Linked DNA regions of Ovis aries. The protein of the gene in region 1 interacts with the protein of each later gene in a pairwise test. Links are inferred from orthologs where the notes say so. Each region holds a gene or a part of one and is shown in the gene's direction. Other genes may lie near its edges.

Region 1 (3,873 bases):
CCCCATGGACTGTGGCCTGCCAGGCTCCTCTGTCAATGGAATTCTCCAGATCAGAATACTCGAGTGAGTAGCCTATCCCTTCTCCAGGGGATCTTCTCGACCCAGGAATTGAACCAGGGTCTCCTGCGTTGCAGGCAGATTCTTTACCAGCTTAGCTACCGGGGATGCCTGGGTAAACAAAATGTGGTATATAAATACAATGAAGCATTTAAATTCAGCCTTTAAAAGGAAGAAAATTCCGACACACACTACAGCATGGATGGACCCTGAGGACATTATTCTAAGTGAAATGAGCCAGCCATGAAAGGACAAATACTGTATGATTCCACGTAGACACCCGGAGGAGTCAGAGTCACAGAGAAATAAAGTAGAAAGATGGCTTCCAAGGCTGAATGCAGGGGGAGAGGGGGGTCAGAGTTCAGTTTGGCAGGATGAAAAGAATCCTGGAGATGGATGGTTAAGATGGTAAGTTTTCTATTACTTGTATTTTACTACAGTGGAAAAAACCCAAACAAACAAAAACAGAAAGAATAGGGATGGGAATTCAAAGGCAGGAAGTAGGGAGGTGTGGTGGGAGACCCTGTCAGTGACACCATGATCTTGGACCACTGGGATACACGCTGTTGTCTTCTCAGCATGTCTTAGCCGTGGATCTTCAATACCTCCTCCTGTGTCTCTTCCCGCCCCTACTGGAGGAGGGGTCAGCAGGTAGATCAGGTAGGGTGGTCGGCATCTTGGGGTTGCGAGGACATGGGTGAGATGGGGAGACAGCCAGTATTAGAGCTGTGCTCTTATCAGCTGGCGGCCAGCGCAGGAACCATGGGCGTATGTTGATTAAAAGAGTCTCATTGGAGATTCAGGATGCTACGGGCACTGAGATGATTATCTGCCATAACGCTGTGTGCACAGCGGGCATTCAATTACCTGCTGCTTGTTTGGTTCATTGACCTCAAGATTGGATGATACTCAATTCTTGGGATTTGGGTTGTCATATTAGTGGAAATTAAATTTATTTAATATTTTTATGAACCTTAGGCTGCATAACCCTATCTGTGGCATCTCACTGTTCTTTCAATCCTTAGACTTAGGAAACTATGGCTTCTAGTCTTTCTCTGCATGCTGTATCTGCATGCTTGGGGGCAGACCAGCCAAGGCTTGTTTGCTTTTCCTTTTTTGGTCGTGTTAGCTGCTTTGCTGGCCTCTCAAGTCCCTGAAGTTTGTTGCACTCTGTTCTGGCTCTATCACCTGAAATAAGTAAGTGGTTTACATATTTGCTGGATTCTTCCAAGTCTAATTCTTGGCTCACCACCCGCAGTTATTTAATGCTTGGGAGGGAAGCTTTTTCCTTATGCCAGCTAATCAGAAATACAAAGCTGACATGATTTTTCCAGTTCAGCAAACCTCCAAAAATCTGCCCGCCTTCAAGGGGAGCTTCACGGCCCTCATGCAGGTGGCGAACTCTGCTGTAAAGAGAGAGTTCTCAGCAGTGTAGTCGACCATGAATGGGGTTAATTTACAAAACCTGCTCTCTCCATTCTCTGCAGAAAGAAATTGAGACCCTCCAAGCCAGGATGTCTGTTCTGGAAGCAAAAGATCAACAGCTGAGACGGGAAATTGAGGAGCAGGAGCGGCTTCTCCCGTGGCAGGGCTGCGACCTTGTGGGAGGGTTGTCCCTGGGCGAGCTGCAGGAGGTCACCAAGACCTTGCAGGACACCCTGGCCTTGGCCGAGCAGATTCCCCTCCGTGCAGAGCCACCTGAAGCCATCCAGAGGTACTGGTGATTTCCTAAGTGATTTTGGATCTCTCGCCTTGTCGATCTGTTTATGGGGTTGATTTAGTCTGCGGTCCTACATATGTAAACGTTGGGTTGGCCAAGGAACTTTTCCGTCAACTCAGTATTTTCCAAGCAGTGCTGTGTATTTTCAAGGGAAAGTACTCCCGGCATTTTGAGGGTCAAGGCCCTTCTTTGTGGGGGCAGCCCTGTCCACTGCAGGACGCTCTACACCGTGGCTACCCAGCCTATTGGGCTCCCTAGGTGGTTCAGTGGGTAAAGAACCCGTCTGCACTGCAGGAGACACAGGCATATACGAATCGATCCCGGGGTCAGGAAGATCCCCTGGAGGAGGCCATGGCAACCCACTCCAGTATTTTTGCCTGGAGAATCCCATGGACAGAGGAGCGGTTGCAAAGAGTCAGACGCGACTGAGCAGGATGCACACAGCCTGCTAAATGCCTCTTTCTCTCCATTCTGCTCAGCACCTTCCCCATTTCCTAACGCCCCCCGGGCGCCTTCTCTCTCTTTGGGATCTGTTGGAGTTTGATCGGTTGGAGAGTTTGATGCCAACAATCGTCTGGAGACAAGGGGAATGTTAGAAAGTGTTAGTCGCTCAGTTGTGTCCGACTCGTTGCGACCCATGGACTGTAGCGCACCAGACTCCTCTGTCCATGGAATTCTCCTTGCTAGAATACTGGAGTGGGCTGCCATTTCCTTCTCCAGGGGAATCTTCCTGACTCAGGGATCGAACCTGGGTCTCCTGCATGGCAGGCAGACTCTTTATCATCAGAGCCGCCAGGGAAGCCTGGAGGCAAAGGAGGGAATGAGCTACTAAGAGGGGAGACTCAATCAGTGACCAGGAAGAAGAGATGATCATTCATGACAACCAGCATTTATTGAGTCTTACTGTGTGTCAGGCGCTGTGCTAAGCTTTACGCGATGAGTGGCGTCTATTATTATATCCATTTCACAGATGAGGATAAGAGAGCTTAGGAAGATCAAATAGTTTGCCAAAGTCTCAATTGATAAGAGACAAAACTGATACTAAAATTCGTGTTTGTTGCATCAAAGCCTAGTTTCTTACCCGCTTGTGGAGGGAGAACCTTCCCTGTGCTCTCTGTTGAGGAAGACACAAGAAATACGTGTGGACCTCTGACCTTCTGGGAGGTCATTACCTTATTCTGGCCAAAGATGGAACCTGCCCCTACTCCTATTAGACAGAAGTCGAGCTGGTGGTGAGGCTTGAGGGTGCAGCGGGTGCAGCAACGAGGGGAATGAATGTGCTGCTCAATTACGCTGCAGGAAACACTCAAGAAAACCTTGCCACCTGTAGCGGCTGAGAATAGGGACTCTTGCTATCTACTCATCCATATATTAGTTGGAACCACTTATTATCGGGGGGCTGTTCCTCGGATGAACTGGGTTAAAATGTATCAATATAAGGGTCATATGATGGTGCCTGGGTGGCAGCACGCCCCTTTACTGTCATATAATGGTGCCTGTCCTTCTCATCACAGGGATTTCCATCTTCAGAAGCCTTCTAACTGCTGTCCAAATGTGTCTTAGACTGTTTAGCAAGTATCTGCCCTCTTACACATGCCACACTCGGTGGTATCAGCTGGGATGCTCGTCCAGGAAGATGCTCACCATGTCCTCCCCTCCCCGTCCCAGCCCTGATATTTCCCTGCAGAGCTTTAACCCTGGGCTCCATCCACAGGGAAGGGGAGGGCGTGTGTTGTTGCCAGATTTTAGTCAAAGGAAGCTGACCATCAAGCCTGCCTGTGCCCTTTCTCCTTCACCCCCACTCTACAGCCTTGGCCTCTGGGGACCTTTCCAACTCCTGCTTCCCATATCCCTCCTGTGGAAGTCTTTCTACACACACACACACACACACACACACACACGCACACACATGCGCACACACATGCACACACAAGCACACACATGCATGCACACACATACATATACACACACTTACACATGTGCACACACATGCATATACAAAGCACACACATGCACACACATGCACACACACGCACACACATGCGCACACACATGCACACACAAGCACACACGTATGCATGCATACACATACATAT
Region 2 (4,475 bases), on another chromosome or scaffold:
TGATGACAGATCTGGGAGATTCTGGCTGGTGGGTAGCAGTCCATCAGCTTTACACTACATTATCTGATTTTCCTATTAGGTGTGTTTTTAACACATTAGGTCAGGCCACAGCCTCTCCATCTGTCTGGATGAGGTAGCAACAACAGCCTCCAACACACCACATTAAGTACTCAGGTCTAAAGAGCCTCTGTTTTGTAAGCTTTGCAGTCACTAGGACTATAAACAGAATACTGGCTAATTATTGTTTAATTATTGCTTAAAAACCAATTGGCACAATACAATCACTGCATTAATTACCCCATACAGCATCTGTTTTCTTTTTTGAGGTCTTCCCCATTCCTCTCCTGTCCCTCTCCCCACTTTAATTGAAATTCAGCTTGCTGTAACACCTCCTTTCTCCTGGCCAACTGGATCTCTCCATTCACACGAGGCAGAAGAACAAAACAGAGAAGGCCTCGGGGATTAGGGAGTTTGACAGCTGTCCAAGAGGAGCGTTGAGACACTGGCCAAGTACCGAGGCAGGACAGAGACAAATGGGAGACAGAAGAGGGTCACGGAGGGAAAGATAGGCAGGGGCACATCGCGAGAGAAATGAACTGGACAAAGAGTCACCGAGACAGGCAGAGGTGTTTACAGGGGCGCTGAAAAGAGGGGGGAAGGAAGAGAAAAGCTTTAAAAAAAAAAAACCAAACACCAAAAAACCAGAGGAACTAAGGAGAGTTGGTGAGGAAAATGCGAAAGGCTCAGGAGGTCAAGGAGACAGAAGGGAGCTTGTCGAGAAGGAGCGGGGAAAAGTCCAGCCTCTAGAGACAGATCAGCCCATCTTGGGGGACAGGCAGCTTGAGGGGGGTCGCGGCTCATACACCTGAGAACGGGGTGGGGTGGAGGAGGCGGCCGCCGCCGGGCGGGAGTAGGAACAGCGCTAGCGGCGAGGCTGAGCACGCGGGGCTCAGGCGTCCGAGCCCCCTCGGCAAGCCCGGCGTGCGCCCGGCGGCCCAGGACGCGCCCGGCGGCCCCGCCCCCTCCCCGGCCGCCTCCTTCGCCGGGGCTTTTCCTGCGGGGCTCAGGAAGCCGGCCTAGCACAGCCGCGAACAATAGCTCGGGGCCCGGGCTTGGCTCCTTGGAGAGGCCGGCGCGGGGAGGCGGGGGGAGGGAGGCGTCCGCGCCGCCGGGGGCCCGCGGCGAACCCCGGCCCGGGCCGAAGCTTCAGTTGAGCTCGGCGCTGCCCCGGGCATTGTTGGCCGCGACTGAGGAGCGGGAGCCGGGGGAGGAGCTGCGAGGCGGCGGCGGCTGAGGGAGCCAGAGGGGGAGCCAGAGAGCGAGCGAGGGAGGGAGGCTGAGAGCGTGCGGGCGATAGAGCGAGGGAGGGAGGAGGTAGAGAGACAGGGAGGGTGGGAGGGAGGAGGAAAAATAAAGAGGAGAGCCGAGCAGGGCTGAACAATAGAGACAGGCGGACGGGCGAGAAGGAGAGCCAGCTGCCGCTGCTGAGGGAGAGCGGGCGCCCAAGCAGCTCGGACCCCGGCCCGGGCAGACCGCAGGCGGCCAGCGCCCCCCGGGGAAGGGGGACCATGGGGGAGCCCGCGGCAGGCGCCCCCAGCCCGCCGTGCGCCTCCGCCTGAGGGAGCCTCGGCGTCCTCTGCCCCAGCCCAGCCGCCCCGGCCGGCCGCCCTCGAAGCCCGGTGTCCGCAGCCCAGCGCCCGCCGCCCACAGAGCAGCGCTCGGCCCCGGGCTTGGCCGCCCCCCGGCTGCCCGTGGACGCCCTCCCCCAGTCATGAACCCCCCGGAGGGGGCAGCGGAGGAAGGAGGAGCCGCCGACTCGGACGTGGACGCCTTTTTCCGGACAGGTAAGCTGGGCAGCTGGGGAGCTTGGGGGGGTGGGGCGGGTGGGGGGCTGCTGCCCTGGACGCGGCTTCTCGGACAAGTTTGGGGAACGAGACTGTTGCTGGGGCGGGCGTGTTGGGGGGTGCTGTCCCCCTCGTCGTCCGGGCCGGAGTTGCCGAGATTCTTGTTGTTATGGCAGTGCTGGTTGCGTTTTGGAGAGGGGTGGGGGCTGGGAGCTTGGCGCCCCTCGGCGTTCACCCCACTTGCGGGAGTCTGTGTGGGGAGGCGGGAGGCGGTCCCGGTGGGCCGCCTTCTCCCCGAGCGCGGGGATGGGGCGAGGTTGGATCACTTTGCAGCGCGCCGCTCTCGCTCCCGGCGCCCCCGCCCCTCCCTCGGCTCCCCCTCCCCCTAGCGCCTGTCAGCCTGGCTCTGGCCGCCCCGCGCCCGCACCCCTGCTCCGGGCCACGGGCCCCGGGCCCTGATATGCAAAGAAGGACCGGGAGTCGCGCAGGCTGCAGCCTGACAGTCAGGAGCGGGGCGGACGGTGGACCGCGGAGCCTGATGTGTGTGAGGAGCCGGGCGTCTCAGACTTAAGAGGCGGACTTGGCTGGGAAGGCGGTGGGCGCCTAGGACCTCGTCCTTGTCCTCCTCTTCTTCAGTGATGGGAACGCAGGAGCTTTTGATAAAAATCACTCATTCTGGACGTGTGAGTTAGCGTCCCCCTCATACACACCCACTGAATCTTTGCTTGCCTGTGGTATGTAGAGCTCCCCCGCCAGACCTGCTTTCACGGTTGTTCTTTGCCCCCGCCACCACCCAGTCCTGGGTCTGAGTCGCAGGTTCCTTGCCTGCACAGCCCTTTTCCCAGAGCAGATGCCGACCACTCTCCTCTCCCACCACCTGTGGCCCTGTTTCTCTGATAACCAGGGTTTCTCCATCTCCTCTTTACCTGTGGCTTCCACCAACTCAGTAGGTAGAGCTCCCCATCTTCCATATCTGGAACCATTTTGTCTGGAATCTTTGTCCCAAAGAGTCCAGTAAGTTATGGGGACCCCCTCTTTCTGTAAATTGGGTTAAAGCGCGTGAACTGGTGGGGTCAGGGAACAGGTTAGCTCTGGAGGCTCCCTGCACACCCATCTGTTTCCTAACCTCATTGCCCTGCCCTGGAGGTCATCTGAGGGGAAGGGGTGGGGTGCTTTGTTGGGGAGACTTGTGGCTTTAGAAGTCAAGAGTTGGTCGACCCATATGTTCATTTTCTAGTTGGTCTGAAGAGTAAAGAGGTGGAGGACAGGAGCTGATGCCAGAGCCTGGAGAAAACAGGAGCCCCTGTTATCCTACCCTGCTTCTCAGGGCTCAGCCTTGTCTCCTTGTTCCTTTTAACCAGTCGTGGTTTCTAATATACACTGCCGCCTGGCCCGTCCCCCTCCCCCCACCCTTACACTCACATATGCACTGCCCAGGAACCAAGGCACGAATTCTAAAAACGTGCCTGACCTGAGTTTATAACCTTAGATTATAGTCTAGGAGAGAGGTTCTGGGGGTTAAGGCCTATCTGGAAACATTCACCAGGACGTCTTCCCTGACTCCCCCACCTGGCCCCACTCCTGTCTCTCATCTGGCACAAAAGTCTGCCTTTCCTTAGTTCTGGGGAAAACTCCTGAAGTATGAGCTTTCCGACCTTCCCTTTCTGGACCTACTTTTATCTTTTGGCATCCATTCCTCCTTCCCATTTTCTACCATCCAAACAGTAGTTCCTATCCGTTCTCCTCCCAGGCACTTGGAGCAGATCTCAAGTTTCTGGAGGCTTGCTAATTTCTGACAAATGAATTCACACAGTGTTAATGGTGTTAATGACCTATAATGGTCCAATGTGTTACTTTTCCCAGGGCCTTTCAAAATACAACATGGGGCTTACATTGTCTAGCTCTGGCTAAAATCACAGAGTAAATAACTGACTGGGGACTGTCTCCTGTGGAATCCTGCTGGGGGTATTCTTCTTCCTTCTTGGGCAGCCTTATGGTGGGGGTGGGGGCTAGGTTTGATGTGCTCTTCAAATCAGAGAAGGGTGAAATCTACAACAGATAAGGCTGGAAATGACTGACAATGTGTAACAAGTTGTAAGAGGGGAGGCAGGCTATCTGTGGTAGGGTCTAGGACCACCATCCACCTGAGTGGCCCTCTGTGCTCTGCTTTCTGATCTTACTCCCTTCCAATCTCTAGCCTGGGGATTCTTAAACCTGTAAAAGACCATATTTCTTAACTGTCTCCTTTCTGATCCCCCAATCTTTATGGAATATAGTGCTCTACACCTGGTAGGTTGGACAGATTATAAATTTATTTAGTCGAACCACTGAGAAAGCTTCAAACACATTTTCAAAGTCCCTGGGGCCAGGGTTACCCCCTGCTTTCTGGTGGAAAATTTTGCTCATATAAAGACCAGACTGGCAATTGCTTTGTCAAAACTCTGGCATACTCTGCCTCTAATTAGGCATGTTTCAACTAATTCTGTCATTTTGGTTCCTTGTCCTCTTCTGGTTATTTTGGTACTTAAGTTTTTTTGATCATGGATTAAGCTACATTTTCTAAATCCTATATCCGTACATACATGTACATGGATAGATAGACACACAGAGAGAAGCACACACACCCCACAA
Region 3 (4,407 bases), on another chromosome or scaffold:
CTTTCAGGGCCCTGGGGTCTGTCAGGAGAGAAGAGGAGATCTAGGCTTGACGTTACCAGAGCTCGCTGACCCTTGGAGGTGAATCAGCATTTCTCCTTGGATAGGGGACCACAGGGGCTTGGAACGTGGCATGAGAACAAGGAGAAGTCGCCTAAAGGATGTCAGTGTTCTCTCCGCCTGCATGGGTTGGATTCTCCAAAGTCAGGCTGTGCGGAAGTTCAGCGTTTGTAGTGCATATACAGTGATAAACACAATTTGAGGTGGCCACGCTGGTGTGTGCCCCTCCCCCTTGCAGCTTTGGCCCTTTTTCCACTGATCAGAACCCAGGATAGGGGATCTCAGAAAACATGGGGATGGGGAGGGCAAGGGAGATGCCTGTGGTTTTTGACACAGTTGTTAATTTCACTGGGATTTTGAATTCTTTTCTGTCTGAACACAAAGCCTGTTCTAGTCCTATAGCGGGACACTGGGGGGTGGGGGTTGGGGAAGATGCTGTAATGAAACTGGTTAGTCAATGTTGTCTTAATATTGTTGACAATTCTGTAAAGTTCCTTTTTATGAATATTTTTGTTTAAGCTATTTCACCTTTGTTTTTTGAGATCCTTCCCTCTTAAGGAGAAAATGTGACACTTGTGAAAAGCTTGTAAGAAAGCCCCTCTTCCACCACCCCTCCCTTTTTTTTCCTTTGAACCTTTAAATGACAAATCTTCTAGGTAATTAAGGTTGTGAATTTTTATTTTTGCTTTGTTTTTAATGAACATTTGTCTTTCAGAATAGGATTGTGTGATAATGTTTAAATGGCAAAAACATGATTTTGTGCAATTAACAAAAAGCTACTGCAAGCAAAATAAAAAACGTTTCTTGGTAACACAACTGTGACCTTGGTAGGGTGGTCTGCGCCCTGACACCGAGCACCACTCGGGAGAGAAGGGGGGGTTGTCCCTCCGGGACAAACTGAGCTAGGAGACGAGACCCGGCGGGAACCAGCTGACCCGGTGGCCAGTAGCCGGGTGCGGCGAGAGCGAGCCATACCGCCGGCCAATCGCCGAGCGCGCCTAGTGCAGGGCGTCCTATCAGAGCCGAGGAGGGGCGGGACGAGCGAGCGCCGCGCCCTGGCGGGTGAACCGCTGCGGATGCTGAAGCCAGAGCTCGCAGCGCCGCGGTGTTCGGCGCGAGCTGGCGTGGGCAGGTCCCCGGCGCTCTCGGGGTTGCGAGCTGGGGGCGTGGCGGGCGCCCGCGCAGCCAATCGGCGGCGAGGGTGGGCCCGGGCGCCGCCAGCTGACCGAGCACCCGCGACGGTCGCTGGGCAGCGAGCGACGGCGATGGCGACCGTGATGGCAGCGACGGCGGCGGAGCGGGCGGTGCTGGTGAGGCGCGCGGGCCGGGCCGGGCCAGGCGGGAGGCGGCCGCGGGCCGGGGCGGCTGACAGCGGGCCTATCCCCACAGGAGGAGGAGTTCCGCTGGCTGTTACACGACGAGGTGCACGCCGTGCTGAGGCAACTGCAGGACATCCTCAAGGTAACCTCGAGGACCTGTGCGGGCGCCCCCTCTCCCCCAGCGCGACTTCCCCCTCGGCCTCCCGCGGCTGCTGCGTACCCGACGCGCGGTGTTCAGACCAGGCCCTGCCCTCAGGCCCCGGACTCAGTCCTAGGACTTAAAAAGCGTCTAACCCGGGGCGCCAGCAGATAATTACCCAGTTCCACAAGCCGTCCTGCCAGGGCTGCGGGCCTGGATTGAGCCCCGGAGTCGGGGAAGCTACCCTTTGAAATTGACGTTTAATCTCCTATCTGAAGGACCCAGCATTTTGACCTCAGCCAAGTCCTCGATCTCTCTGGACCTCCCCTTTGCGAAAAGGAGATAGCAGTACCGCCCTCAGGGCTGTTGTGAAGATTTAAAAAAAACAGCCAATGGAAATACAAAAAAATGCCCAGGCGGTGCCTGATAAGGCTGGAATTACCGGTTGCCATGACTACTGTCTTCTCAGACTTTGCTCCCCACTTCCAAGCTCGTCAACCAAACGGGGAGGGTGTCTCTGGGTCCTCTATCCTGTATGGGACACACAGTAGGCCCCCAGGGAATGTGGAAGGAGCCGGTATGGGTTCAGGTAGGACCTGAAATTGGCCGTGGGGGAGGGGCCCTGGGAGCGGGGCTTATGGAGCAAAGGCTCGGCTGGAGTAGGTGAGCTTGGTTTACCCGACTCTCCTTTGCCCCTCAGGAGGCCTCGCTCCGCTTCACTCTACCAGGCTCAGGCACCGAGGGGCCCACGAAGCAGGAAAACTTTGTCTTGGGCAGCTGTGGGTGAGCCTGGGCTGGGTAGAAACCGTGGTAGGGTTGAGGGGTGGACTTCTGGGAGGAGGGACCCTTGGGGATACCCTCTAGGACTGGTGGCGTGGCCACAGCCCTGCCCTGTGGACTGATTCCAGCTCCAGCGGCCAGAGGATGTGCAGTGGGACAGGCTGGACTATCCTGTGACAGCCCGCGGAGAGGCTGGGGTGGTGGGAGGGGGCAGCTGCAGGTGGTGGGAGGGGGCAGCTGCAGGTGCTGCTCTGACCCCCACGTGTTGTAGCACAGACCAGGTGAAGGGCGTGCTGACACTGCAGGGAGACGCGCTGAGCCAAGCGGTGAGTCCCCCTGCCCCGGCCCCTTCCCATGCCACCACAGCAGCCAACGGGCAAGAGTCAGGGGTGGGTGGGGGGCCTCCTGCTTTAGCTCAGTTCTGCCCCCAACTAGCTGTGTAACTCTGGGCAGGATCCTTGACCTCTCTGGGCCTCAATTTCCTTGTTTGAAAATGACAACAACCCCTGTAACCTGCTTCTGAGGTTGGTGTGTTACTCCTTTGAGAGGTACAGCAAGTGAGGGGGTGGGTGGTGCTTTGCACACGGCACTACCTATAGTCTGGCCCCAGGGTTAGCCTGGCCCCAGACCAACATCTTAACTCTTTCTGCACTTGATCCTGTAGCAGGTGCCAAGGCCTGGGGGAAGGTCCCCCTCCTCCTTGGGTGGGCGTTACGTCCCTTGGCACCTGCAAATGTTCTCCATCTGCCCACAACCACACACCTCCTCCCTCCCAGCAGAAGCCACCTTCCCCTTTCGCGGCTGTTTTCCCTTTCATTTCTTTGTGGTTCCTTTTGGGCCTGAGTTCCTATTTCCTGTTCCCTGTTTGCCCCCACCCAAATGGCCATGTTCTTCCCCCTCTCCCACATGGAGTGGCTCAGACGTGAGCCACCACATACACTCTGCTTCTGCCCCCTGGCTCAAGGGCTTAGAGTGGCCGGCGGCAGGAGGGCATCCTTCTGCCCGGCTTAGCCCACCCTTGCCTGGCAGGACGTGAACCTGAAGATGCCCAGGAACAACCAGCTGCTGCACTTTGCCTTCCGGGAGGACAAGCAGTGGAAACTGCAGCAGGTAACTGGGCCCTTCCCCGGCTGGGGCCCAGGGCACAAGGGCAGGCAGGAACAGGCCCTTGCAGCGCTGAGGCCTCCAGGGCTGGCCGCTGTGAGGCCTTGCGGCTGCAGCAGGCTTGCAAAGATGTCTCCTAGCAGTGCAGCTGGGGTGGGCAGTGCCTGGTCTCCTAGCCTGTCCTGTAATTGGACCTGGCTTCTGCCACCTCCCTCTCCCCTCTCACTGGCCACCAGCTGTTTCCACTTCACGGCCTTTGCTTGGGCTTGTCCCTCTGCCTGGAGTCCACCCCCCAGCTTTTGCCACTGCACAAGCTTCAGCTTAAGAGTTGCCTTCCCTCACCGCCGCCCGCCCCCCAATCACCTTGTTTCCCTGTGAAAGCTGAGCAGTCTATTACCTTGTGCCTTTCCTCTGTTACCCTCTGTCCTCCTTTGGAAAGTGAGCTGCAAGGGACTGGGGACCGAGCCTGCCTCACTGCATCAGCCAGGCCCAGCAGGCGGCACCCACCCCACCCCTGCTAGGAAGATAGATAGGCCCCCTCGGGGTGGGGATCCCTAGGCTGGGCCCCCAGAGACCATGGGTGTTCTGAGGCTGGCACCTTTCCCTGCCAAGGCCCAGCCCACTGACCGCTCCGTGGGCCCTGCTTTTAGATCCAAGATGCCAGGAACCACGTGAGCCAAGCCATTTACCTCCTCGCCAACCGAGATGAGAGCTACCAGTTCAGGACGGGAGCAGAGGTCCTCAAGGTGAGCCACCTCAGGAGTGGGAGAGCCCAGTTCCCTGACCACCGATCGGGCCCCTGGGAAGCTCTGCCCCCACCCTCAGGTGAAGCTGAACGTCAACCCTTCACCTCTCGGTGTACGCCATGTCCTTCCAGCCAGTTGAATGGCTCACAGCCCAGGCCCCATAAACAGATGTGGGTTCTGATCCCAGGGCCTGCACTATGAGCCAGGCCACCTCAAATCCCTTACTTAGCCATTCTGTGCCTCAGCACCCTCACCTGATAAA
Region 4 (4,641 bases), on another chromosome or scaffold:
AGGTCCCAGCAAGCGTGGTTATTAAACTGGCATTCTACACTTCACTTTGTCTTGCAGTATTCTGAACTTTTTTTACTCTGAATTACCCCCAAAGCACAATGCAAAATAAAGGGACATTTTAACAGTTAGCAGTGCACCAGACAGCAGGAAGTCTGTGTAGGTTTCTTATTTAAGTAAACATGTTTAAAAATATAGATAATCTATAGCAAATCAGTCACTAAAATCTAAATGTAAGGAAAAAAATCTGGTTTTATTCAAAGTTGTGGTGAATCCGTTTGGGAACTTTCCAATTAATTTGAAATTAACTCAGTGCTTTTCAGTCATGGCAGTTAGATACAGGGACTACTGAACAGAAAGATGACAAAGCAATTGCTTCTGTTCAAACTTATCATAAACTATATTTCCCTGGACTTTTCATCTCAACAGATTTCAAATTCCCCTTTCCAAAAAGTACTTGACCTTCAAATTTCAAGTTCTGTATGTCTTGATTTCCTGCTTCCATCATGTTAGAAAACTCAAACTTGGCTACAAGTATATTATCTCTGTTACCTGATTTTAAAGAATTTTGTTTTCAAATCTGCAGTCTGTTCTGTGCCAACCCTGCATTGCAGAGAGATCTTTACGTGCGATCCCAGTTTGGCTCCTTCAAACAGAGTCACTACTAACTGGCTTTTAACCGTATTTACTACTATAGAAAGCAGGGAGGAAACCTCCGCCAACCTAACCAGACTAGCTGGGCGACAAACCCCCAGGGCGGCTGAATCTTCCAGCAAGCCGTGCTGGGCGCTGTCCTTGGTGCTGCCGGCGCCATAGCGAACACAAGCGCCTTACCTTCTGCCCCTGCGGAAGTTGCGGACGTCCCCCAAACGTTAAGCAGGATGCAGCGCCTTATCCCACTTTTATAACAAATAAATACCCCAGCCCATCCGCTTTGTCCCCTTCCCGAAGACTTCAGGCTGACCGTTCCTCAAAGTCTTTTTGTTTTTCTCTTCTAGGCCCAACTCGGGGCCTGCGCTCATCTCGGGCTGCTTTAAGTCAGGGAGTGGGGGAAGGGGAGGGAGGCAAGGGGCGACGAGGCTGGAGGAGGGGCGGGAGGAAGGGGGAGGGGAGGAGGGAGAAGGTAGGGGGAAAGGCTGGGGGAAAAAAAGGTCCAGGAGGAAGGGGCTCTGAAAGAAGGGAGGAGTGAGTGGAGCTAAAGAAGGCTTAAAGTGGGAGGGCGAAGAGATGCCAAAAACAGGGGGAAGTGATTAAGCACAGAATATGGGTAAAGAAAAAAGTAAGAGAGAAAGGGCAAAAGAAGAGAAAAGTATGAGGATAAGAGTACAGAAGCGGGGAAAAAAAAAAAAAAAAAGGTGGCCAGGGGGGTCGTTAGAAAAGCTGCCCGAACGGCGGGAGAGTGACTAAACAAAGAAAGCACTTTGGGTGAATATTCCCACCGAGGGTGTAAAATGCAATCTGAAGGTGAAGAGAAATGGAGAGGGGGGCTCGGGGAAAGACAGGTGGTCTGGCACCGAAAGAAGTGCTGGGGGGAGGGGCCGGGCCCAAGGCAGTGAAGTCCAGGGTCCGATGCGGCGTGGGCCCACGTGGAGCGGGCGCTGAATCACTGCTGGGCTCTCTTCACCCCCCATCCTCCCCCTCCTCTCCCGGCCGGGTGCCCGCAGTCCCCGCCTTCTCGGCCGCCGCCTCCACGGGGCGGGGCCCTGGCCCGGGGACCAGCCGCCGCGGCTATAAATGGGCTGCGGCGAGGCCAGCAGAACGCTGTGACAGCCACACACCCCGAGGCCTCCAAGATGAGCTACACGTTGGACTCGCTGGGCAACCCGTCCGCCTACCGGCGGGTGACCGAAACCCGCTCGAGCTTCAGCCGCATCAGCGGCTCCCCGTCCAGCGGCTTCCGCTCGCAGTCGTGGTCCCGCGGCTCGCCCAGCACCGTGTCCTCCTCCTACAAGCGCAGCGCGCTGGCCCCGCGCCTCACCTACAGCTCCGCCATGCTCAGCTCGGCCGAGAGCAGCCTCGACTTCAGCCAGTCCTCGTCTCTGCTTAACGGCGGTTCTGGGCCGGGCGGCGACTACAAGCTGTCCCGCTCCAACGAGAAGGAGCAGCTGCAGGGGCTGAACGACCGCTTCGCGGGCTACATCGAGAAGGTCCACTACCTGGAGCAGCAAAACAAGGAGATCGAGGCGGAGATCCAGGCGCTGCGGCAGAAGCAGGCCTCGCACGCCCAGCTGGGCGACGCGTACGACCAGGAAATCCGCGAGCTACGCGCCACCCTGGAGATGGTGAACCACGAGAAGGCTCAGGTACAGCTGGACTCGGACCACCTGGAAGAGGACATCCACCGGCTCAAGGAGCGCTTCGAGGAGGAGGCACGGCTGCGCGACGACACCGAGGCGGCCATCCGCGCGCTGCGCAAAGATATCGAGGAGTCGTCGCTGGTCAAGGTGGAGCTGGACAAGAAGGTGCAGTCGCTGCAGGATGAGGTGGCCTTCCTGCGGAGCAATCACGAGGAGGAGGTGGCCGACCTGCTGGCCCAGATCCAAGCGTCACACATCACCGTGGAGCGCAAAGACTACCTGAAGACGGACATCTCGACGGCGCTGAAAGAGATCCGCTCCCAGCTCGAGTGTCACTCCGACCAGAACATGCACCAGGCCGAAGAGTGGTTTAAGTGCCGCTACGCCAAGCTCACCGAGGCGGCCGAGCAGAACAAGGAAGCCATCCGCTCCGCCAAGGAAGAGATCGCCGAGTACCGGCGCCAGCTGCAGTCCAAGAGCATCGAGCTCGAGTCAGTGCGCGGCACCAAGGAGTCCCTGGAGCGGCAGCTCAGCGACATCGAGGAGCGCCACAACCACGACCTTAGCAGCTACCAGGTAGGAACCGCGGCTGCGCGGCCAGCCTGCGCCAGCGCCAGCGCCGCGCGCCCCCGACACTCAGGCCCGCGCCCCGCCGAGCTCTCCGCCGCGCTCCCTAGCGGCCGCTAGCCAGTGAGCGCGCGCGCGCTCGCCGCAGAGCCAAGTTGGAAGCTCAAAGCTTCCTCGCCCCTTCGCGCCCCCTCCGCGCGCTCCCTCCGGACTCCTCCCCCGCACACCATCCACAGCTCTAAGAGCCTCGGCCTTTTCCAAAACGTGCTTCTTTTCCTCGGAAGTTCTAGTTTTGCACGCTTGCGAGTTTCAAGTAGGAGGTATACGTTGGGGTAGCTGATAAAGCAGCAACTTTAGGAGAGGCGTGAAGAAACTCATGTATTCTCAACTTTTCCAGCTGCGATCGGAAGAATTCCCAAAATTGATTTCAGCCCAAAGGGCTAAGATGGGAAGGGCCAGATCAGCCGTGGGGGGTTCCCCATGGATGTTTGTTTCCTGCTGAGACGTTCTAGATCCACTGGTCCTAGTGCGTGACATGCCCGGGAAACGTCTAATTGTCTTATTGATTCTGTTTGTTTCTCAGTTCCTTAGATTTTTATTTTAAGCGGGGACGGGATCTGGCATTAGTACCCGAAGTACGCCAAGCTGGAGGGAGTCGAGGGAGGGGAGGAAGCTGGAGGGGGTAGCAAGTGTTTTGCGAAAGAAGTGGCTGTTTGGAAGGATGATTTTGTGGCTGTGTCGGTTTCAGGATACCATCCAGCAGCTGGAAAATGAGCTTCGGGGCACAAAGTGGGAAATGGCTCGTCATCTGCGAGAATACCAGGATCTCCTCAACGTCAAGATGGCTCTGGATATTGAGATCGCCGCATACAGGTAGGGTGTTCACTGCGGACGTGGCCAAAGTACGAGCCGCACTGCAGAGGCCATGTTGGCAGAACCTTCACCACTTAAGTTAAAGCAAGTAGGTTGCAGGAATCTTAACTCAGTGCCTGGTTTTCTTCCTTAATTAATAAGTAGTTACTCTAAAATATTTCAACTTTTATGCAGCTTTAAAAAAAGTAAACAGTTAAAATAATGTATTTGAATAAAAAGTGTTTTGAGGGAGAGCGCCGATTAATTTCAGTGCTTATGCTTAACCTTTTTTATTTTAGTGAAAAATACTTTCCGAATATTTGAAATAAAAAGTTTTAATTTTTTTTAATATTTTTCTCTAGTGCTTTCAATTTTTCAACTTTATGATGTCAAGGACAAACACCAGGACATTTCATTTATCCCTTTCTTAGTCACAGTTTACTATTGCCATCATCTGGCTTAGAATAAATATGATTGGTAGAATATTTATTTTTTATTCAGACTTCTATTTCTAGATCTAGATAGATAGACATCCAGAGAAGGAGAAGATATATATATATATATATATATGTATATATATATATATATATATATAAAAACTGATGTCACCTTGCTGTTAAGTTCATAGGGGAAAATTCTTGGCTGAACAGTTTTATTTTCCCCATTTAAGTCATTCATATTACAAGAATAAATTGCACTCAACTCAGAGCCATCTAAGTTTTCAGGAAAGGTGAAAAATTACATAAAATAGACACTTTATGATTAAAATTACAGACTAATTTATATAATACATGTATATTATCACCCAGCTATGACATATATAGCCTGAATTCTGATGTATTCTAAATAGCTTTGTAAATTTTTTGAATATTATATTTGTTAAAAGATGTTTCATATACACCTGAAAGTCCAAATGCTTAAGAAGGTG
Region 5 (4,538 bases), on another chromosome or scaffold:
GTAGAAAATTCTGAAAGAGATGGGAATACCAGACCACCTGACCTGCCTCTTGAGAAACCTGTATTCAGGTCAGGAAGCAAAAGTTGTAACTGGACATAGAACAGACTGGTTCCAAATAGGAAAAAAGAGTATGTCAAGGATATATATTGTCACCCTGCTTATTTAGCTTATATGCAGAGTACATCACGAGAAACGCTGGGCTGGAAGAAACACAAGCCAGAATCAAGATTGCTGGGAGAAATGTCAATAACCTCAGATATGCAGATGACACCACCCTTATGGCAGAAAGCGAAGAACTAAAGAGCCTCTTGATAAAGTGAAAGAGGAGAGTGAAAAAGTTGGCTTAAAGTGCAACATTCAGAAAACTAAGATTATGGCATCTGGTCCCATCACTTCATGGCAAATAGATGGGGAAACAGTGGCTGACTTTATTTTTGGGGGCTCCAAAATCACTGCAGATGGTGACTGCAGCCATGAAATTAAAAGAGGCTTACTCCTTGGAAGGAAAGTATGACCAACCTAGACAGCATATTAAAAAGCAAACATTACTTTTTCATCGAAGGTCGTCTAGTCAAGGCTATGGTTTTTCCTGTGGTCAGGTATGGATGTGAGAGTTGGACTATAAAGAAAGCTGAGCGCTGAAGAACTGATGCTTTTGAACTGTGGCGTTGGAGAAGACTCTTCAGAGTCCCTTGGACTGCAAGGAGATACAGCCAGTCCATCCCAAAGAAGATCAGTCCCAGGTGTTCAATGGAAGGACTGATGTTGAAGCTGAAACTCCAATACTTTGGCCACTTGATGCGAAGAGCTGAGTCACTGGAAAATACCCTGATGCTGCGAAAGATTGAGGGTAGGAGAAGGGGACGAGAGAGGATGAGATGGTTGGATGACATCACCGACTCAATGGACATGAGTTTGAGCAAGCTCCCTGAGTCGGTGAAGGACATGGAAGCCTGGAGTGTTGCAGTCCATGGAGTTGCAAAGAGCTTGACACGACTGACAGGCTGAGCTGAACTGAACTGAATCTCCCTTAAGCAGGATGACTCCCTGAAGGGCTGCGAAACAAAAGGAACGCGCAGAGACCACACCATTGTTTACGTAACTTTCGGCAAATCCCTTTCTTTCTACGAAATATTCAGCTGACAGAAATGGCTGAGATAATTTCTTGCTTGAATTCTCGACGAGTCACACCTGCCTGGTTCCTGGGCAGACCAAAGCCTGAGTCTCAGATCCACCGCCAGCCCTCCCGCTTACCTAACAATCTATACTTCGGGTAACAGAGCCGACGTCTCAGCGCGACCCGGAAGGGGAAATCGCCCTTTCCGCTTGGAAAGGGCCCACCCTCTTCAAATGGCCGGGACAGGAGCAAGACGGGCCTGCGCATGCGCAGTGGCGTTTGCTGCCCTTCCGGTACGCCCGGCGCGGAGAGGCGGCACGGACGCAGGCACGCACGGACGCACCGTGTCCCCTACACGCGCCGCCGCCCTAGCTCCCAGTTACACCCGCAGCGGCGTCAGCCTAGTAGAGATGCTGCGAGCCTGTCAGTTATCCGGCGTGACATCCACCGCCCAGGTGAGGACGGGGGCGCCGGGAGACAGCGCATGGTGGGTGAACTGACCAGCGGAAAATAAGGGAGGCATTGGCTTTGCCTAGGCCCCAGGACAGAGGCGTGTCTCCGGACCGCCCTTATCGCGAGAGTCCTGGGTGGGCCCGTGAGGCAGTTAATTCGGGAGTTCGGTGGACGGGAATGACTGGAGGGTTATTGCTGAAGCGGGATGGGGCGTGGAGAAGAGAAGGTGGCGGGGAGGCGGGTGTAGGACGGGAGGCACGGCCTTGGGGACGTGCCATCCAATCAGCCCCTCGCTGCCTCAGTCTAGGACCAATCGAGGCTGCTGGCGCCCGGGTCGCCGGTTGGGCGCGTGAGAGGTTTCGCGGATCCAGTGGTTGAAGGTCGACGGGGGGGAAACTACAGTTCCCAGAGGGACGCGCATATTCTTGGCTTGTTGCACCTTAAGGAGGTGCCTGGACTGCTAGAGACCGCGTTTTAGGGGTCAAGGTTGTAATTATCCAGGAAGGACTGCCTTTCTTTAAGTAGCTGAGAACGCCTCTTGAGCTATTCTTACTCTGAACAAAAACAGAGTAAGAGCTCGAGCTTCTAGAACTCGAGGAAGGTTAAGCCCCTGACCTTGTGCACGTTTCTGAGATTAGCCTGAGGATCTCTGTCTCTAGGTGCTAGGACAACTTTGGCAGACGTCCAAGTAGTTACCTTTATTTCTGCATAATTATCATAGTAATTTTGGAGAAGGAAATGGCAATCCACCCCAGTATTGCCTGCAGACTGTCATGGACAGAGAAGCCTGGCAGGCTACAGTCCATGGGGTCGCAAAGAGTCGGACAGGACTGACCGACTAAGCACACACATCAAAGTAATTTACTGAAATTTAAAATAGTAAACCTACTTCCATTGCTCACAATTGAAAGAGAATTTGTATTTTGGCAAAATGTGGAATTTACAAAACAGGTTCTGTGACTCGAGCAATTGAGCAAAGTCCCTGGCCTCAGTGGGTTAGAAAAGTCAATTTTTTTCATTTCCTCCAAGTTTGCTTATCTTCCATCTCCCCTTTCGTTTCCAGGGTGAGAGAAGCAGGCTCTTCTGTAGGAAAGTGGAGTGTGTATTAGTTTTCTGTTGCTGTGTGTACATTTCAGGTAGCACAGATGGAGCAGCCTCAAACAGCACCCATTTATTACCTTATTGTTTCTAGAGGTGAATGGTTACCGTTATCTGCTTGCTGTCATACAGGGGTGCAAAGTGTGTCCCTGCTGTGGTTCTCTTTTGAGCTCAGGGTCCTCTTCTAAGCTCCTTCAGTTCGTTAGCAGGATTCAGTCCCTGCAGCTGTAGGGCTGAAGTCCCTGTTTTCTTGCTAGCTCCCACCTCACCTACCTGGGGGCAGCCTGAAATTCTTTGCCACAAGATTCTCAGAAGCAGTTTATAACATAGATGTTTACTTTCTTGCAGGCTACCATGAGCTTGTCTCTCAGACTTTAATATCTCTTCCCTGTTTCTGATTTCCAGACCTAGGTTTAAAAGGCTTATGTGATTAGGGCAAACCCACCTGGATAAATCCCTTTTGATAAATCAGGTCAACTGATTAGAAACCCCCTTATATCTGTAAAATCCCTTTTGCCTGTACAGGTCTAATCATGGGCTTAACCACTGGGGACAGAGATCATGGGAGGCATCTTAGAATCTGGGCTACCAAAAGCCAAGTGGGCCTGGGAGTATGAAGGAAGCGGAGCAATCTTTCAGGGCAAAACTGTAGAGGTGTATCTTTGGGGCCCTCCTTTCAGGCCCACTCTTCCTTATTCTGCCCAAAGGTTACAGCATGATTGTCACTGAACTGTCTCCTCAGTCTACCCTAGGGTCAGTTCTTTACCTTGTTGTTAACAAAGGCCTTTAAAAAAGCACATGGACTGGACCATGCCATGCCCTCCAGTGACATCCCATCGTATCACAATAAAGTCTAAACTCATTACCTATCCACAGGGCTCCTCATGATCTGGCTCTTTGCATATCTTTTTTTTTTTTACTCTGCCTCATTCTGTTCTTCTGATTGCCTTTTCATTTGCTGTTTGCCCTGAAGTCCTCCCACACATCTTTGCTTAGCTCACTCCATTCAGATATTTTCTTAGATATTACTTTTCTTTTAGAGAGGCCTTCCCTAAGACACCTCTGATCACTCTCTCCTTTGCATCACTCTGGAACCTACCCTTACCCTACTTGGTTTTACTTTTAGCTTTTATACTTCCTGACATACTGTGTATTAATTATGTATTTTCCACATTCAAATGGAAGCTCCTCAAAGGGACTGTATTTATATCAGTACTCATAATAGTCCCTAGCTCCTAATAGATACTCAGTAAATGAACATGTCACAAGTGTGACATGTTTGAATGAAAGATTAATGTGTTCTGTGAATTTTTCTTAATTTCCATAAGAGGATGTTCAGTTCAGTTCAGTTGCTTAGTCGTGTCTGACTCTTTGCGACCCCATGAACCACTGCAGCATGCCAGGCCTCCCTGTCCATTACCAATTCCCGGAGTCCACCCAAACCGTTGTCCATTGAGTCGGTGATGCCATCCAACCATCTCATCCTCTGTCGTCCCCTTCTCCTGCCTTCAATCTTTCCCAGCATCAGGGTCTTTTCCAATGAGTCAGCTCTTTGCATCAGGTGGCCAAAGTATTGGAGTTTCAACTTCAACATCAGTCCTTCAACATCAGAACACCCAGGACTGATCTCCTTTAAGATGGACTGGTTGGGTCTCCTTGCAGTCCAAGGGACTCTCAAGAGTCTTTTCCAACACCACAGTTCAAAAGCATCAGTTCTTTGGTGCTCAGCTTCCTTTATAGTCCAACTCTCACATCCATACATGACCACTGGAAATACCATAGCCTTGACTAGATGGACCTTTGTTGACAAAGTAATGTCTCTGCTTTTTAATATGCTGTCTAGGTTGGTCATAACTTTCCTTGCAAGGAG
Region 6 (3,873 bases), on another chromosome or scaffold:
GTCCCAGGGAAAGAAGAGGGTGGGCCAGGCCCTGTTGGTGCCCCCGACACCAGGAAGGAGATGGCTTCCATGCCTGGCGCTGCCCTTACTACCTCGTCAGCGAAGAAGGAAGACCTGGTGCCCTCCGAGGAAGAGACGCAGGCCTTGACCCCGGGGGCCCAGGGACCCTCTTCCCGGGGCCGAGAACCTGAGGCCAGACCCAAGCGGGAGCTTCGGGAGCGAGAAGGGCCTGTTCTGGGACCCCCATCTGTAGCCTCGGCTCTCTCAAGGGCTGATCGGGAGAAGGCCAAAGTGGAAGAGGCCAAGAGAAAGGAATCAGAACTTCTCAAAGGTCTCCGAGTAGAGCTCAAGTGAGGTCCTGTTCTTTTCTCCCTCCCACCCCTGCCCAGTGACCTCCAGCCCTACTCACCCAGCCTTCCTCCTGTGCCTCCCCCAGGAAGGCCCAGGAAAGCCAGAAGGAGATGAAATTGCTGCTGGACATGTATAAGTCTGCGCCCAAGGAACAGCGGGATAAGGTGCAGCTCATGGCAGCGGAACGCAAGGCCAAGGCTGAGGTGAGGACAGGTAGGGTCTGTGGGATGTGCAAAAAGGCTGCCCCAGGGCAGGGAGTCGGTGACCAGAGTTGAGCCCTGGGTTAGCAGGAAGCAGTGATGAGAGAGCTCCCTCCTGGAGGTTATAGGTTGATGAACTCCGGGGCCGCATCCGGGAGCTGGAGGAGAGGGATCGGAGGGAGAGCAAGAAGATTGCGGACGAGGATGCCCTGCGGCGCATTCGTCAGGCAGAGGAGCAGATCGAACACCTGCAGCGCAAGTTGGGTGCCACCAAGCAGGTGCGACCCCCCACCCCACCCCACCCCTCCCCTAGCTTTGAATGTTGGCATTCCTTAAACCTCCTGGTCTAGCACATGGCCTGGGTCCACTCTGGGGGTCTTTGTACAGCCGTGTTTTCCTGCGGTTTCCCCATAGTTGATCTTGTCCGTCTCCCACGTTCCATCTTGCCCCTGCCCACTTGCTGCAGGAGGAGGAGGCCCTGCTGTCAGAGATGGATGTGACAGGCCAAGCCTTTGAGGACATGCAGGAACAAAACGGGCGGCTGCTCCAGCAGCTGCGAGAAAAGGACGACGCCAACTTCAAGCTGATGTCAGAGCGGATCAAAGCCAACCAGATTCATAAGCTGCTGCGGGAGGAGAAGGATGAGCTGGGCGAGCAGGTTCTTGGCCTCAAGTCCCAGGTAGGGCTGCCCCAGGCTTGGTAGGGTGGGACTGGAGAGGCAGGGGTTCCCTAGCACTGAGGCCCCACTCCTGTCCTCAGGTGGATGCCCAGCTGCTGACCGTGCAGAAGCTGGAGGAAAAGGAGCGAGCCTTGCAGGGCAGCCTTGGGGGTGTGGAGAAGGAGCTGACACTGCGCAGCCAGGCCCTGGAGCTCAACAAGAGGAAGGTGAGGCAGATGACCTGGGCCAGGGCCTGGCTCTGCTGCCCTACACAGCCCCGTTCACTCTCAGACACTTAATGTGTGCCAGACCCTGTGCTGAGGACTTTCCCTGTTGGGTCATGTTTCGCCTTAAAGTAATCCTACAGCAGTTTTCATTGTTATCTCCTTTTCTGTGAGGGAGAAGGCTGAGGTTTAGGGAGGTAGTTGACTTGCTCAAGAAAGAGTGGAAGTGGAATTTGGGCCCAGCTCTCCTTGACTCCACAGCCCATATCCTGACCACTGCACTGTTTAGCTGTCTCTGTTACATAGTTGTATTAACCCTAAGAAATGTCTCTAGCTCGTGGTAGTTGTTCTTCTGAGGGGAACAGAGTTAGGAATGACATCACTCCTCCAGGTCATAGTAAAGGCTTAACATGGATTTTCATCTCTTTTCTTCTCCTGGACTTCTCTCTGTTTGGTCCATTCGTTTAAGCAGCATTAGTCATGCTCTTGCTGTGTACCAGTACTGCACTGAGTGCTGGGGAGATCACAAGAACAAATCACCTCTGCTGGAAGTGGGAGCTTCCAGTTAGGAGGGGCAGAGAGCAAGCCGATAATCCCACAGATTAAGTAACACTGTTTCAGATCACAGCATGTCTTTGTTTGGCTGCAATGCACGGCAGCAGTGAAGGCCCGGAATTCTAACCACATAACCGCCAGGAAACTCACAGCATGTCTTATGAAGGAAATAGAACTGTATGAAAGGAAAACAGGAGAGCCTCTCTCAGGAGGTGACATTTGAGCTGAGGCTTCAGGGAACTTCAGAGAAAAAGTCTGTGTGTTGGCGGAGTTGAGGGGAGCAGAGAACCCTGTGGAGGCTCAGAGACAGGAGAGAGGGTTATGCAGGTCAGGAGCCAGAAGTGCTGGGAATGAGGAAGACGAGGAGGTGAGGCTGGTGGGGTCAGGAGACAATCGGTTTCAGTGAACATATTGGGACTACTCCCAAGAGCAGGAACCACTGGACAGTTGACATAAGCCTCTGTGGGCCATGGCTCCACACACTTGATTCCCCAGGCTCAGGCCAGCTGTGCCCCTCCTCCCCATTCCACCCACCTCAGGCTGTGGAAGCAGCGCAACTGGCCGAGGACCTGAAGGTGCAGCTGGAGCACGTGCAGACACGGCTGCGAGAGATCCAACCTTGCCTGGCCGAGAGCCGGGCCGCGCGGGAGAAGGAGAGCTTCAACCTCAAGAGGGCTCAGGTGTGTGGTCGGCAGGGGGTGGAGGCAGGGCCGGGGCCAGCAGGTTTGGATTGAGGACCCTTGCACTCAAGACTGCCCCCTCTCCTGCCCCAGGAGGACATCTCCCGGCTGCGGCGCAAGCTGGAGAAGCAGAGGAAGGTGGAAGTTTACGCAGACGCTGATGAAATCCTCCAGGAGGAGATCAAGGAATACAAGGTAGGGCTGTGGAGCTAAGTTCTGCCCCGTGAACCTGGGAAATCTCAGATTGGGGGTTGGTGAGAGCTCCAGGGGGTAGTCCGGGGAACCCAGAAATAAGGTAGGATAGCAAAACCTGGGCAGAATCCATTGTGGAGAATCAAGAGAGCTCTCAAGTGTGGTGCACATATACTCCATACCAGGTAGAGTGCTGAGTGTGGGAGGAGTGGGACCTATACCTGACCTTGGGTCTCTTGAAACTGACAGTCTGGTGGAGGAGGCAGCCAAGTAATTCTTCCCTCTGAGTGATGAGCAGTGTGATGGCAAAGGCCAGAGGGGTTGGGGGCAGTCAGGGGAAGCCCTTAATAGCCCCTGAGCACAGTGGGGAGTGGGGCACGGTCAGCCAGCTTCCTGAAGGCATAGCCTCCAGGGGAAAACGGAAGAGAGTCAGGGTTGGCCATGAGGGATGGAGATGAAAGGGTCCAGCAAACGGAGAGGTGGAGGTGGAGGCCCCTAGTTGAGCGAGGCGTGCTGGAGGCGCAGCTGGACAGCGGTAGCTAAGAGGACAGAACTTGGGCTTTTGATGAGTCACAAGCCTGGGGGGTGGGGAGGGGCCATCCTGAAGGTTAGTGAGCCAGGTTGAGATTCTTGGTTTATTCAGTAGTCAGTGTGGAGACATCCAAGGGTTTTAGGCTGGAGAGTTATGTCTCAAGTATATTGAGGATGAGGTACTTACTCGTGGGACTTCTGGGGAGGCTGTCTGGGAGGACAAAGCGAAGGGCTGATGTGGAAGACAGAGGCTTTGGGGGATTGTCAGCAGAGGCAAAGGCAGAAGCCACGTGGAACTGGTCACTCAGGGAGGGCCTGTGGCCTGAGACGAAGCAGGGGTCATTTTCCCTGAGCAACCTCAAAGCTTGAATAATGGACAGAGGAGGGATTTCCCTGGTAGTCCAGTGGCTAGGACTCCACACTTCCAATTCCGGGGTCCTGGTTCAATCCCTGATCAGGGAACTAGATTCCACATGCCACAG
Region 7 (3,873 bases), on another chromosome or scaffold:
TTTGCCATAGGATAGCTAACTAGCATTATGAATAATATATTTTATTTTTTTTGCTCCTGTGCACATCAACACAAAAAGCTTTCAACCACTAGTTTCTACATAGAGCCAAATGCCCATTTTTCTGATCCATTCTATTCATCTCTGTAAATCGTATTTCTATTTTATATCTTAGAATAGCAACCATGGAAATTTTTGTTTTGTTTTGCTTTTTAGTGCTCAAAAACATCCGATGTGTTAATATATTCAAATGCTGATGGTACCGATTACCTGTGATTTTAACACATTATTGGCTGGGACGTATTTGCAGAAATGAACACCGTATGGCATTAATAGGTCTTCAGTTAATAACTTGTTAAAATAGTTGTGCAGGTTGAAATGTAAATTGAGCTGGCTACTTATTTCATTGTGAATTGTTTTATTAGTTACTAATTCCTTAACAGTCCCTTATGTTTTTGTGTAAATCCAAGTTTCTTATTAAATTTATATGAACTCCCTTGTATTTAAAGTAGCTGTGATACTTGAAATCCCTGATGAAATCTCATGGTAAATTAAGGTTTAATTGCTCTTGGTGATACATTGTTTAACATAGTAACTGTGTTTTGTGTTTTAGGCCATGACCACAATGTTTCTTCAGTAGCCATCATGCCCAATGGAGATCATATAGTGTCTGCCTCAAGGGATAAAACTATAAAAATGTGGGAAGTGCAAACTGGGTAAGTAGATTTAGTTGAAAAGGCATCAGCTTAAAGAAATAATATTCAACAAAAAATCCAAAACTGTGTTCTGATTGTTCTTGTAAATTTGGTTGTAACCCAGAATGATTACCATGACAGTTACATTTTAAAACTTAAGTTTTAATCTTTAAATGTCTACCCAAAAGGAACAGAGAAATTATGGAAGAAACTCTATATCCTTGAGAGCCATTTTCTATGTAATGGCTTATTTTCTCTGTGGTCTTCTTTTAGGTGATCTCTCTGAGTTGAATTAAAATGTAAATAACATTTTTGCAGGTATGCCCAATTAGGCTTAATTTGGTTGTGCTTAGAATTACATGACTGTTATAATAAAGCCTTAACCTACTGGTTTTGTCCAGATTAGTAAGAGCATGCCTTTTCCCCAACATGGCTAGAAATATTTTTGTTAGGTTTACTGTGTGTGCTTAGTTAAAAGATTATATTTCTCTCTATTTTTTTCCTTCTAGATTTTGATTTGGTTAGCTCTTTAATGATATTTCCATCAGCTTATTTTAACTGATGTTTGACTTTCCAGCCTGTCTCCCTCTTTTATTAACCAGGAATGTACGTGTATTCTGTTGACTTGCATATGATGCCAATTCTCTTCGTTCCAGTGCATAGCTAGTCTTGTATCGCTTCTGGGAAGGGCCCCAGTGATTGCTGTTCACAGTGTAAATTATTATGTATTTTTATAGCTACTGTGTGAAGACATTCACAGGACACAGAGAATGGGTACGTATGGTGCGGCCAAATCAAGACGGCACTCTGATAGCCAGCTGTTCCAATGACCAGACTGTGCGTGTGTGGGTCGTAGCAACAAAGGAATGCAAGGCTGAGCTTCGAGAACATGAGCATGTGGTAGAATGCATTTCCTGGGCTCCCGAAAGCTCATATTCTTCCATCTCTGAAGCAACAGGATCTGAGGTAGTGTATGATTTGTGTTATTTCATGATTTTGTGGCTGTTACTATTTGAGAACCTTTAATGACCTTCCCCGAGTCTCTGTTTCATGCCATTATAAAATCTACATCCAGAATTCTGAGTCTTGAAATTCTTTCCAACTTGCAGATAGATGTGTTTATATTTTTTAACCAGTGGTTATTGTTGCTGTCAGTTGACCCTTGATGTGTGCTAGGGTTAGGGTAAGTGAAGTGGTCATTAAATTAATTATTATTGTCCCTGTTTTAAGAGTATACCAATACAAAATAAAACTTATGGGAGAAGTTAAAGTCGTCTTCTAGGAGAGTAGCTTTTCTCAGGACTTCAGTGGTGGTCCAGTGGTTAAAACACTCAGCTTCCTGATCAGGGAACTGAGATCCCACATGCCATGTGGCCAAAAACTAAAAACAAGAATAGCATTTGTTTTAAGTGAAGAATATTTCATATGGAGGCCTCTGATAGTCTTGATCATTTGTGTTCCTCATGATTTCATTCTTTGTAATTAATACTTGTAAAATTACAGAATAATTACTTCTGTAAATATTGTATGAGCCAAAATTCTTTTTTATAGTGACATTCCTATTGTGTTTTTTTTTTTTTAAATTTTAATAAATGAAGACACTCTCACCCTCACCTACCCCCAACCAATTATTTTTCAAAATGAAGCTGTTTTGGTAATCTCTTCCTAGTTGGCTGGCTCATTGCATTTTCAGGTTTGTTGGGTTTTTTTTTTTTTACTGCCACCTGGTGGTGGTTACTTACCACATCATAGATTCATTGTAGCTGGGGTAGTAACAGTCATATCCAACTCTTTGTGACCTTGGATGAATAAGTCCTGGATATCTAATGTACAGCACGGTGACTGTAGTTAACAGTACCGTATTGTATACTTGAAATTTGCTGAGAGGGTACATCGTTAGTGTTCTTTTCACAGAACACACACAAATGTGGTAATGTGAGGTGATAATTGTGTTAATTAGCTTGATTGTAGTAACCATTTGTATACATAGCTCAGAACAGTGGTATGCCTAAAATACATATCGTTTTTTGTCAAACAATGCATTTTTACAAAATTAGAAATACAGATCATTGTTGGGTAGTTGTCATTTAAGTCACCTAACTTCTTGCCCAGGAAATTTGATTTTTATGTTTTCTGTAGACTAAAAAAAGTGGCAAACCTGGGCCATTCTTACTGTCTGGATCCAGGGACAAGACTATCAAGATGTGGGATGTCAGTACTGGCATGTGCCTTATGACCCTGGTGAGTTTGCATAATTTCACTGCCGCTTTCGCATTTTTACTCTGTGCATATCTTTTAGGGTCAGGTGCCTTGTGGTTTCCTAGTAAATCTGAATTACTTGATGTTCTAAAATAACTTCTTTATAAAGATACTTTTTGGTTAAGAGCATGGTTACAGTGATATGGAGGTTATTTCTATAGACTATTACATTTTACAGTGGATCTGCAAAGCCAGTCAGTGCTAGGAGGGAGATTCTAGCCATTGTATCTCTAAAATTACGTAATATCACCTGTGAAATATGTAGAAAACAAATATTACAGACTCATGTATATTTTTTGAAACTGTGCTTCTTGATCTCATTATATTTACTTTTAAAATGAATCCCTTTAACTTACTATCTATTCTCATGTTCCAGTTTTATTTGGTTATTTTAAGCATTCAGAAATGAATAATATTACTTAGCAGCAGCAGCAGCTCTATGACTTGGAAATCTTTATTTCATTTAGGAGCCTATCTCATCCAGCTTTTAGTATGAGGATATATAAATTATAAGAAGATGTTATGGACTTTCTTGTTTGCCTTCAGGAGTTCTAAGGGGGCCCATGGACATTAATCCAGTGGCAGCTTGTATAATTTGGCATGCATGTTTGTTTTGAAGTGTTAATCTTAGGTGTTAATCGTATCTTGAAGCAACTGTCTTGTCTATGGGATATGGTAGACATGTATGGAAGTATCATCAGGAACTGATTGGCATTCTTAGAATGTTAGATTTCTAATAAAAAAAATAGATAATGTAGTATATTTTAAAAAGAAGAAGAACTGATTAAAAAATTAAACTTTCCTCTTAGTATTCTGAGCTGAGTTCAAATATACTATCTTGCTGTTTGAAAACATGTCTGCATTTAAAAATCAGAAAGCATGTGCTCTCTTCTTCTGGAACAACACAGGTCTCCATTAATTT

Evidence for each region.
Region 2: the proteins of DISC1 (region 1) and KALRN interact in a two-hybrid assay, tested with the Homo sapiens proteins (2 studies listed by BioGRID and IntAct). The link is inferred for Ovis aries from reciprocal best matches to the Homo sapiens genes DISC1 and KALRN.
Region 3: the proteins of DISC1 (region 1) and ROGDI interact in a two-hybrid assay, tested with the Homo sapiens proteins (2 studies listed by BioGRID and IntAct). The link is inferred for Ovis aries from reciprocal best matches to the Homo sapiens genes DISC1 and ROGDI.
Region 4: the proteins of DISC1 (region 1) and NEFM interact in a two-hybrid assay, tested with the Homo sapiens proteins (2 studies listed by BioGRID and IntAct). The link is inferred for Ovis aries from reciprocal best matches to the Homo sapiens genes DISC1 and NEFM.
Region 5: the proteins of DISC1 (region 1) and IMMT interact in binary tests that used the Homo sapiens proteins (3 or more experiments, as listed by UniProt). The link is inferred for Ovis aries from reciprocal best matches to the Homo sapiens genes DISC1 and IMMT.
Region 6: the proteins of DISC1 (region 1) and RNF40 interact in binary tests that used the Homo sapiens proteins (3 or more experiments, as listed by UniProt). The link is inferred for Ovis aries from reciprocal best matches to the Homo sapiens genes DISC1 and RNF40.
Region 7: the proteins of DISC1 (region 1) and PAFAH1B1 interact in a two-hybrid assay, tested with the Homo sapiens proteins (2 studies listed by BioGRID and IntAct). The link is inferred for Ovis aries from reciprocal best matches to the Homo sapiens genes DISC1 and PAFAH1B1.

Annotation. Positions count from the first base shown.
Region 1 is NC_056078.1:3,975,676-3,979,548, forward strand, and holds part of DISC1 (disrupted in schizophrenia 1 protein), read left to right. Parts: intron 1-1,544; coding exon 1,545-1,771; intron 1,772-3,873. UniProt on the Homo sapiens protein: Involved in the regulation of multiple aspects of embryonic and adult neurogenesis. Required for neural progenitor proliferation in the ventrical/subventrical zone during embryonic brain development and in the adult dentate gyrus of the hippocampus.
Region 2 is NC_056054.1:189,285,662-189,290,136, forward strand, and holds the start of KALRN (kalirin), read left to right. Parts: upstream 1-1,439; 5' UTR 1,440-1,771; coding exon 1,772-1,844; intron 1,845-4,475. UniProt on the Homo sapiens protein: Promotes the exchange of GDP by GTP. Activates specific Rho GTPase family members, thereby inducing various signaling mechanisms that regulate neuronal shape, growth, and plasticity, through their effects on the actin cytoskeleton.
Region 3 is NC_056077.1:4,450,315-4,454,721, reverse strand, and holds the start of ROGDI (protein rogdi homolog), read left to right. Parts: upstream 1-1,308; 5' UTR 1,309-1,322; coding exon 1,323-1,367; intron 1,368-1,446; coding exon 1,447-1,518; intron 1,519-1,996; exon of another isoform or gene 1,997-2,050; coding exon of another isoform or gene 2,051-2,104; intron 2,105-2,215; coding exon 2,216-2,298; intron 2,299-2,566; coding exon 2,567-2,621; intron 2,622-3,324; coding exon 3,325-3,405; intron 3,406-4,049; coding exon 4,050-4,145; intron 4,146-4,407.
Region 4 is NC_056055.1:40,766,022-40,770,662, reverse strand, and holds the start of NEFM (neurofilament medium polypeptide), read left to right. Parts: upstream 1-1,757; 5' UTR 1,758-1,790; coding exon 1,791-2,870; intron 2,871-3,005; exon of another isoform or gene 3,006-3,181; intron 3,182-3,609; coding exon 3,610-3,734; intron 3,735-4,641. UniProt on the Homo sapiens protein: Neurofilaments usually contain three intermediate filament proteins: NEFL, NEFM, and NEFH which are involved in the maintenance of neuronal caliber.
Region 5 is NC_056056.1:58,091,773-58,096,310, reverse strand, and holds the start of IMMT (MICOS complex subunit MIC60), read left to right. Parts: upstream 1-1,527; coding exon 1,528-1,572; intron 1,573-4,538. UniProt on the Homo sapiens protein: Component of the MICOS complex, a large protein complex of the mitochondrial inner membrane that plays crucial roles in the maintenance of crista junctions, inner membrane architecture, and formation of contact sites to the outer membrane.
Region 6 is NC_056077.1:27,406,886-27,410,758, forward strand, and holds part of RNF40 (E3 ubiquitin-protein ligase BRE1B), read left to right. Parts: coding exon 1-350; intron 351-436; coding exon 437-554; intron 555-679; coding exon 680-829; intron 830-1,017; coding exon 1,018-1,230; intron 1,231-1,310; coding exon 1,311-1,436; intron 1,437-2,527; coding exon 2,528-2,668; intron 2,669-2,761; coding exon 2,762-2,863; intron 2,864-3,873.
Region 7 is NC_056064.1:23,452,261-23,456,133, forward strand, and holds part of PAFAH1B1 (platelet-activating factor acetylhydrolase IB subunit beta), read left to right. Parts: intron 1-610; coding exon 611-713; intron 714-1,429; coding exon 1,430-1,658; intron 1,659-2,831; coding exon 2,832-2,933; intron 2,934-3,873. UniProt on the Homo sapiens protein: Regulatory subunit (beta subunit) of the cytosolic type I platelet-activating factor (PAF) acetylhydrolase (PAF-AH (I)), an enzyme that catalyzes the hydrolyze of the acetyl group at the sn-2 position of PAF and its analogs and participates in PAF inactivation.